Linked DNA regions of Macaca fascicularis. The protein of the gene in region 1 binds, or shares a complex with, the protein of each later gene. Links are inferred from orthologs where the notes say so. Each region holds a gene or a part of one and is shown on either strand. Other genes may lie near its edges. The genes, in order: BAG3 and HSPB8.

Region 1 (4,489 bases):
CCACCCTTTGTTTTATGCAAGGGCCCTTTTCTCATGATGCATTGAGAAGCCCATTCCAAATACAAAATGATATTCTAGGATTCTCCACTACATTTAGTCTCCAGCAAGGTGTAATTCACACAAGTGCAACCAGATATTGTGTGCGTCTAAGAACAGGGTTGAAAGCAATGAAGCACAAACAGCTAATGGGCTGAATGTTAGTTTTCTCCTTAAGTTTTGGTGCCATGCTGACAAGTCTCAAGTCATTCACTTCGTAAAGAGAACTCTTTTCTTGAGTTGATGACGTCCCATCATCAAAATCCAAGCAACCACAGCACAGAGGTCAGTGACCCAATAACTTGGTGGCCAGGAGGGCACAAAGATAATCAGGTATTCTAGCCTGCATGCTTCAGTTTCACAAAACATTCACTTCCAACTTCTAACAGACACACCACCTCTTACTAGAACTTTCCTGACATTAGTTCTCTCCCTGTAATTGGTACTAGCTGGATGACCTTCAAAGTCACACCTGAATTCTCTGGGTTTTTCAGAAAATAAGAGATCTTCTAACTAAGAGATCTTCAAGGACCTTTCAACTTAAAAATTTTGACTATGAAATTTTCAAAGAAACCTTTCCAGCATCAGACTTCTGATGTAATAGTTCTTACTTTTTATTTATTGAGAAGAATAATGGCAGCTAAACCTGCTTTTTTTCTTTTAATAAGGTTTATGAAACCACAGCCTAACCCATGCACCAGGTGGGTACAGGAATATCTCAACTTGCTGGGTAAGTTTCATGCTGAGAACAAAGTGCTGGGAATGTCTATGTTCAAACTTGATCTTCACTCACAACAAAGGCTGCCAGCAGATACCACTGTCCCTATGTCCACAGGAAGAAGGCCTCAAAATAATAGTTGCAAACCACACTAAAGATCAGGTACATCCACGCAGACGCCTAAGAAAGGTGGTTTGAAATGAGTGTCAGTTTCACCCAAAAATGGGCTGAACACACACACAAAAAGGTATATGCAACTGTGCCCACCCCAGCTAATTACAGCCTCTTGTATTAATTTTCAAGAATAAATACACAAGTAATCTCTCGTAAATGTAAACTGCTGCCTGTACAGTGTCTCACTGTTGGGCACCGGAGTTTTATCAATATTGTTAAAACAAAAAGTGCATTAAAATGAAGGGAAATAATACAGGTCTTTCTTCTAAAATAATGGGTTACAAAGTATTTTTAATTTGGTGAGTTTTAAAATCTTCAAAATAATTTACCAGCTCTTTGCTGCTTTTATCTTGCCCAGACGGCAGTAACAATTACGCTTTAAGTATAACATTTTTTTTAAAAAAACTTTTTATTTTGAAAGCTCAAATTTATATAAAATTGAACGAATAGTATAACTATGATTTTTGAAAATTAACAGACTCATTCCAAATTTACGTTTTCAAATTTCATGCTCTTGGGGATTAGGAATATCGTTGCATATATGTAAATGAGACATACTTCTGCTGTATTCCCAAGAGTATCATTACTCAGTTATTTGTGTACTGGTAACAAATTCTAAGTATTTTAATACCATAACAAGGCAGGAAGCGAATGCCATTATAAATATACACGTATCATTCTCTTTCCAGTGTGAGGCAATGTGGTAAGGCAATGGCCAACTGTAAGTCTCAGATCTCTAGTTTAGAAACTGCTGGGGAGAAGTGCACCCTCTTTTATATTTTACAAGTCATACTAGGATACATTCGTATTGAAAGCACTTTCAAACAATAATACAATTTTAATTTAAAATACACACACACGCGCGCGCACATATATATGAATGTTTTGACACCAGCCTCCTGAGTCATTGGGTGCCTAAGATGGGACAGCAAACAAGATACCCCTCAACCAAGTTGGAGAACTTGAGCGGTAAAATTCCTCCCAAAAACCACCATCCAAGCTTGCGAGGGTCCCCCTCGAGTCCGCGGTCAGCGGGGTGCGCCGCGGGTCCCGGGACCGGAGGCCGAGCCGGCAGCAGTGGCCGCGGCGGGCCGGAGCCTCCGGAGCTGACCAGGCCGGCCGCCCCCTCCGAGCCCGGGAGCGTGAGGCCAGCGTCGGACACGCGGCCCTCCGCCCCGAGTCGAGCCGTGGACGGCACCGGACCCACTGCGGGGTCGCTTCCCGGACCACCGGATCGCGGGGCCTCCTCTCGCCCCGACTCCTGTAAAGGGCGGGTCCGGAGCGGGGACTCGTCCGGGAGCACCGGGAGTGTGTGGCGGGGCGCGGAGCCGGTGTCCGCCCGCAAGGGGCCTTCGCCGGCCACCGGGCCCCGCCGCCTGGCGTCCCCCCGGCCCAACCCACTCCCCGCCGCCTGCCGTCGAGGTGGCGCCGCCGACCAGGGCGGGCCGCGGGCCCAGCTCACCTTGGGGCCCTCAGAGGGCACGCGCGGGTCGTTCCACGTCGTGGTACGGCTGTTGTGGTCCACGAAAAAGGGCCAGCCGGTCTGCGGGTCGATCTTGATCTCCCAGCCGGGGGGCAGGGGGTCGCGGTCACCGTTGCCGGACGCCACCTGCATCATGGGCGAGTGGGTGGCGGCGCTCATGCTGGGTCGGGGTCTGCCCGCCGGGGCGCGGGTGTGGGGCGCGGGCTCCGGGCGCCGAGTCTCTGGCCGGGCCGCCGCCGTGGGCCCCTCTCTGCCGCCGACGTGTCCGGGAAGCCGGCGCCGGGCACCTTTATGAATTAAAGGCGGGGGTGACGTGGCCAGAGAGGGGTGGAAGTGTCTGGAAATAGCCTCCTCGGTGCCAGAGGGGAAGGAGGCGATAAAGGGAGGTAGCAACTGGCCGGCTAGAAACTTCTGGTCCAGTCCAGAGAAGTTGGCCGCGGCCCGGGGTTGGACGCGGAGCTCCGCCCTGAGTCATCGGCTATAATCGCGGCGGGCGGGGCTGAGGGGCCGGGGCGGGGCCTCTCCCCGCTCGCCCCTCCCCCACCTTCTCCCGCCCCTCCCCCCGCCGTCTCGTGCGCGTGCCCGGGCCGGAGTCGCCGGGGGCGGGCGCGGGCGCGTCTTCGGGGTCCGCCTGCGGGTGGGGCGCCGGAGGAGCGGTACTGGGGGCTTACTCCGTGGCCCCGGGAGGGTTTCGGCTTTCGCACTCGCTCTCTCCCTCTCCTTTGCGCCGACTGAGTGTTCCTGGGGCTGGAGCCCGTGCTCCCCGTGCCTGCCGCCCCTCTTTCCTGTACAAAGCCATCTCGCCCACCCCCACCCCACCCCCATCCCCCAACCCCCCCATATATGATAGCCGGGGACCATGAGGGCTGTCCGGGAGGAGCGCGGGGACGCTCATCTGACACCAGAAGGAAGCCAGGGAGAAAATGGAAGTTAGTGCAAACTCACCTGCCTTCCTTTGGAAACTTCAAGAAAAAAAGAGATTGTGTCAGCTGATGGCTTTTAGTCTCCTAGACTAAAAAGAAACTTTCGTTGCGGTGAACAGCTTTAAAGAAAAATCACATTTTCTTGGATTCGGATCTTTTTTATGGTAGAAGTTGGTTCTTGCAGTCTTACATCTTGACCCTCATTTGGGAAGTAAAGACCGAACCTAACCATGACATTTTTTGTTTGGTTTATTCAATTGCACTTGTAACCTGTCAAAGGAGAAAATTACAACACATTTAAAGATCTTTTCTGTTGTTGTTGTTGCTGATTCTCATTTTTTAACTTTTGTTGTTAAAGATCTTAATTTTATTTGTGATTCTAGAATTGGGCAACACCTCCATTAAATTAGAATAAGTGCTCCCATGAGCTGAGCAGAAGAGGTTGATTTTATAGACAGAGAAGGGCTGAAGAAAGCAGAAACAAAGAACCAAGACTGGATTGGTTGTTTCAAAATTACTTTCCTTGTAAGGAGGGGACAGCGAGACAGAATCATAGAAAAATAACTGATGAGGGCTTGCCACCATGGCTCATGCCTGTAACCCCAGCACTTCGGAAGGCCAAAACTGGAGGACTTCTTGAGTCCCGGAGTTTGAGACCAGCCGGAACAATACAGTAAGACCCCCATCTCCACAAAAACAAAAAATAAGCCAGGTGCAGTGGCTTATGCCTGTAGTCCCAGCTGCTCAGGAGGCTGATGTGGGAGGCTCATTTGAGCCCAGGAGTTTGAAGCTGCCATGAGCTGTGATTGTGCTTTTCATGCCAGCCTAAGCGACAGAGCAAGACCCTGTCTCTTTAAAAGAAAGAGAGAGAAAGAAAAAGAGAAATGACTGGTCATCACCAGGTTACATACATACAGATTACTATACAATTGACCCTTAACATGGGTTTGAACTGAGCAGGTCCACTTGTACATGGATGTTTTTCAATAAAAGTTACACCGAGTGTGCTTGCCTCTCCTGTCTCCCCTTCCACCTCCTCCACCTCTTCTGCTGCTGCCACCCTTGAGACAGCAGAATCAACCCCTCCTCTTCCTTCCCCTCCTCAGCCTCCACATGAAGATAATGAGGACGAAGATGTTTATGATGATCACTTCC
Region 2 (4,495 bases), on another chromosome or scaffold:
GGTGCCCATCAGACTGCTAGGTGCTGAAAGAGAATTACCTCATGTATTCCTCATGGCATATCTGTGAATTGACTACTGTTACATCCATTTATAAGGAGGAAAACTGACAATTTGGAGGTGCCTGGGAATAATGTTACTGCCTATAAAGATGCTTTGCTTGACCAAACATTAATCAGATTTCTGAATCTTCTCCTAAGCCCATCTGTGAGGTTCCTTATAAAAATTCAGTTTTGGGCCAGGCGAGGAGGCTCATGCCTGTAATCCCAGCACTTTGGGAGGCCGAGGCAGGTGGATCATGAGGTCAGGAGTTCAAGACCAGCCTGGCCAAGATGGTGAAACCCATTTCTACTAAAATACACAAAAATTAGCTGGGCATGATGGCGGTGCCTGTAATCCCAGCTACTCGGGAGGCTGAGGCAGGAGAATCGCTTGAACCTGGGAGGCAGAGGTTGCAGTGAGTCGAAATGGCACGACTGTACTCTAGCCTAGGGGACAGAGTGAGACTCCGTCTCAAAAAAAAAAAAAAGAAAGAAAGAAAGAAAGAAAAATTCAGTTTTGGCGTGAACTCTGCTAAGTCTGTTTAGCAGCAATCACCCATCTTCGATGTCTGATCACCCTCGATATCTGATTAGTTTCCTCATCCTCCACCATCCCCCAGATGACGTCTGAGCACCCTGGCCTGTCTTCAGCAAGCATCCTCTTAGGTTAGCTGAGCCTGAATCCCTCTGATCCCTGGACTTTCCTCCTAGTAATTTTCCATTCGCTGATCCCACCCCCACCCCACCTGCTTCTTGCCTACAAATTCCCACTTACCTATGACCTACTGGGAATCAAATCTAATCTTTCTCCCTCACTGCAAAATCCCATTGCGGGGGTCCTTACATCTATGGAGAAAGTTTCCCTGCCCAGTAAAGTCTTGCTTATCATACTTTGACAAGTGTCATATGAATACATATATATATGTATAATTTTTTGTTTTTTCTTTACCGCTCTCCCCAGAGGGCGTTGAGGCTTTAGGAGCTTGGCCACCTTGTAACTGGGGATTCCAACCCAGGGACATCCTTCAAATCCACTGGGCTAATGTCTCTCTCTTCCCTTTCTGCAGGTCCCCAGGGGAAAGGCAGGATACGACACGCTCTGGGGAAGGTATTTCCAGAGGGTGACCTGAGCCCTCAGCCAGGCTAGGGGTTATTAATAGCCAGGCCTTAGTGCGCCTCTCCGGGAGGGCGGCTCCAGCGCCGGGAGCAAGCGGAGGGCGGAGCTGAGCGGAGTGGCCAGGGGAGGAGAGAGTGTCCAGAGAGGCTGGTTGAACTTGGACGCGGCCCCTCCCAGCTCCCCCCACAGCCCAGCTGTTCCCTCCGCGGATTCTCCGGGGCTGGTTCATCACCTCCGAATATTCCTGTGACAGGAGACGCTTGCAAAACCCGCCTCCAGTCTCCAGCAGCAAATAAATAGAAGGCTTGCAGCCCAGGAGGAGCCAGAAGAAGTTTCTAGGCGCGTGTGCCCTGGGTTTATTAAGCTCCTGGCTCCGCTCTAGACCTCAGCGGCTCTGGCTGCCAGCCTGGGCAGCCTGGGAGGACGGTGGCTTGCTGGTCTGTCGTGAGGCAGTGAGGAGAGGGGCCCTCTGGGATTCTGCTGGACCTGCCTGGGGGTCACCTTTGGGGTCTGGGACCCCAGCCGAGGGGGCACAACCGTCCCTGGCAGTGGTTGGTTCTGCTTCTCCCTGCAGAAAAGCAGCATTTTCGGAAGCTGAAGAATAAGCTAGCCCAGCCACACCACCTTGTTGAGTGACCTTGGGCAGGTGGTTCTGTCTCTCTGAGCCTCTGTTTCCCTCTGAGCTCAGCAGCCACCATGGCTGATGGTCAGATGCCCTTCTCCTGCCACTACCCAAGCCGCCTGCGCCGAGACCCCTTCCGGGACTCTCCCCTCTCCTCTCGCCTGCTGGATGATGGCTTTGGCATGGACCCCTTCCCAGACGACTTGACGGCCTCTTGGCCCGACTGGGCTCTGCCTCGTCTCTCCTCCGCCTGGCCAGGCACCCTAAGGTCTGGCATGGTGCCCCGGGGCCCCACTGCCACCGCCAGGTTTGGGGTACCTGCCGAGGGCCGGACCCCCCCGCCCTTCCCTGGGGAGCCCTGGAAAGTGTGTGTGAATGTGCACAGCTTCAAGCCAGAGGAGTTGATGGTGAAGACCAAAGATGGGTATGTGGAGGTGTCTGGTAAGTCAGGGGTAGGAGGTCGGCGGGAGGGGGGGTGGGGCGGGGGAGTAGGCCTCAGCCCTGGGAATAGCCAGGAGAAAAGTTTCCTGAGAGCAGACGCTGGGACAGTGTGACACAGGTGACCTCAGGGCTCAGGAATGCAGCCCGCAAAGTTATCTTTATGGAAAACTTCTCTCCCAGCTCCCAGCAGAGATCTTAACCTGCCTGACTCAGCTACTGGGGCCTTGGGGTGCTGATCAATCAGAGTACAGACAGGAAAATAGAAACCACGTTGGGTATTTTGACAGAGGGCATTTAATATAAAGAACAGGTTAAACAGATACCAAAAAATTAAAAAACAAAGAAGAAATGGGATTTCATGCACTCCAGCATCACAACACAGGGTCTAGAAGTTCACGTTAAGGCTGAGCAATGATAGTGTTAATATCCACAACTGGTTTCCAGTGAAACACCTCTCCTTGTCCCAGACAAGGAAACTGAGGCTTACCAGTAATTGTAGTAACACTAACTGGTAACTCTGAGTGCTAACTATGTGCTCAGCACTTTGCTAAATACTGTTGCCTATCATATCTCAGCTAACACAACCACCAGAGGAGGTGGGTACTGTTTATCTTCTTATTTTTTTGCAGATGAGGAAACTGAGGTATGGAGAGATTAATGTAACTTGTTCAAGGGCATCAAAGATTCAGACTCAGGCTGTCTGGGAATTAGGAGGCCAGAAAGAAGGAATGATTTACTGAGCACCTGCTAGGTGCCAAGGGCTGGGCTGACATTCTTATACTTCTTCCCCAAAATCACCCTCCGTCAAGTCCAGAGTAGCAGGGGTGTCTAGGCCCATCTTGCAGTTGAGGAGGCTGAGGCCTAGGTGGGACTTGTTCACAGTCATGCCATGAGTCAGCAATAGGAGTGGAGTAGGGACTGGGCCTATCCACAGCTTTAGGCTCAGGGCTCTCACAGCCACATCCCACCCTGGGAGAAAGAAACATACAAGGGGGAAGAAAGAGCGAAGACAGGAAGCTCAGCCCCTGTTAAGCTGGGCAGCAGAAAAAGCTTTCTTTTCCTTCCCTCCCGCTCCATTAAAAAGAATGTGTTCCCGGCAGAGGCTTGCCTTCCAGAAAATCAGTCAAAGCCATTGCAAACACAGGCTGGGCAGGAACAAGCCCCGGCAATGTTCAGGGGGAGTTTCAAGCCAGTCATGGCAGAATTATAAACATCAGAGGCTCCAGCGGGTGTGGTGGGCTGGGAGACTTGCTGGGGCCACGTGCTGCTGACAGGGTCAGCCAGATCTCTGAGTTGGCTGGGAGCCAGGCACGAGTTCCGAAACTGGCTCCAACTCTAACCAGCAGGATGTGCAAATTACTTTACATCTTTGTGCTTGTTTTGTTTCCTCATCTGGAAATTAGGGTTCAAATGGTTATACCGTAAAGATTGTTGTATTAAATGAGGTGATGCTGTACAATGTGTACCTACCTGTGAACCCAGAAAATCTGAGACATATCTCAGTTCATTTAGGAAGTTTATTTTGCCCAGGCTGAGGACATGCCCATGACACAACTTCAGGAAGTCCTCCTGTCACATGCCCAAGGTGGTCTGGGCACAGCTCAGTTTTACACATGTTAGAGAGACATGAGACATCAATCAATATATGTAAGAAGTACATTGGTTCCATCTGGAAAGGCAGGACAACTTGAAGCAAAGGCAGGAAGATTTGAAGTAGGGAGAGGTTTTCCAGGTCACAGGTAGCTGAGAGACAAATAGTTCTTTTGAGTTTCTGATTAGCCTTTCCAAAGAAGGCAAGCAGCTATGCATCTATGTCAGTGAGCAGAGGGCTGACTTTGAATAGAATGGGGGGTAGGTTGGCCCTAAACAGTTCCCAGCTTGACTTTTCCCTTTAGCTTAGCGATTTGGGGGCCCCAAGATTTATTTTCCTTTCACATTTCTACGACCTGGAACACAAGGAATTAGTAGTATTATTGCCATCGTTGTTGTTATAATGCCAGGCATCCAGGAAGGCCCCAATAAATAATGAATAATAGATTCTCTTTGAAACCTGGGTTCAGATCCCAGCACTGCTGTTCACTAGCATGATGGATGTGGACAAGAAAGTCTTCTCATCCCTCTGAGCCTCATTTCTCCTATCTGCAGAATGGGGATGATAATACTATCTGTCCTGCAAGAGTGTAGGAAAGATTAAACATATACAGACTATCTATGATCACATATGCAGAGTGTCTATAAAATGGAGCTAATAATAGTGCTTGGCTGGCATTCTGTAAA

The links.
Region 2: BAG3 (region 1) and HSPB8 share a complex: the UniProt entries of both Homo sapiens proteins name them as parts of the chaperone-assisted selective autophagy (CASA) complex. The link is inferred for Macaca fascicularis from reciprocal best matches to the Homo sapiens genes BAG3 and HSPB8.

Annotation. Positions count from the first base shown.
Region 1 is NC_088383.1:128,663,086-128,667,574, reverse strand, and holds the start of BAG3 (BAG family molecular chaperone regulator 3), read right to left. Parts: upstream 2,867-4,489; 5' UTR 2,571-2,866; coding exon 2,391-2,570; intron 1,872-2,390; exon of another isoform or gene 1-1,871. UniProt on the Homo sapiens protein: Co-chaperone and adapter protein that connects different classes of molecular chaperones including heat shock proteins 70 (HSP70s), e.g. HSPA1A/HSP70 or HSPA8/HSC70, and small heat shock proteins (sHSPs), e.g. HSPB8.
Region 2 is NC_088385.1:126,176,760-126,181,254, forward strand, and holds the start of HSPB8 (heat shock protein beta-8), read left to right. Parts: upstream 1-1,479; 5' UTR 1,480-1,851; coding exon 1,852-2,218; intron 2,219-4,495. UniProt on the Homo sapiens protein: Involved in the chaperone-assisted selective autophagy (CASA), a crucial process for protein quality control, particularly in mechanical strained cells and tissues such as muscle. Displays temperature-dependent chaperone activity.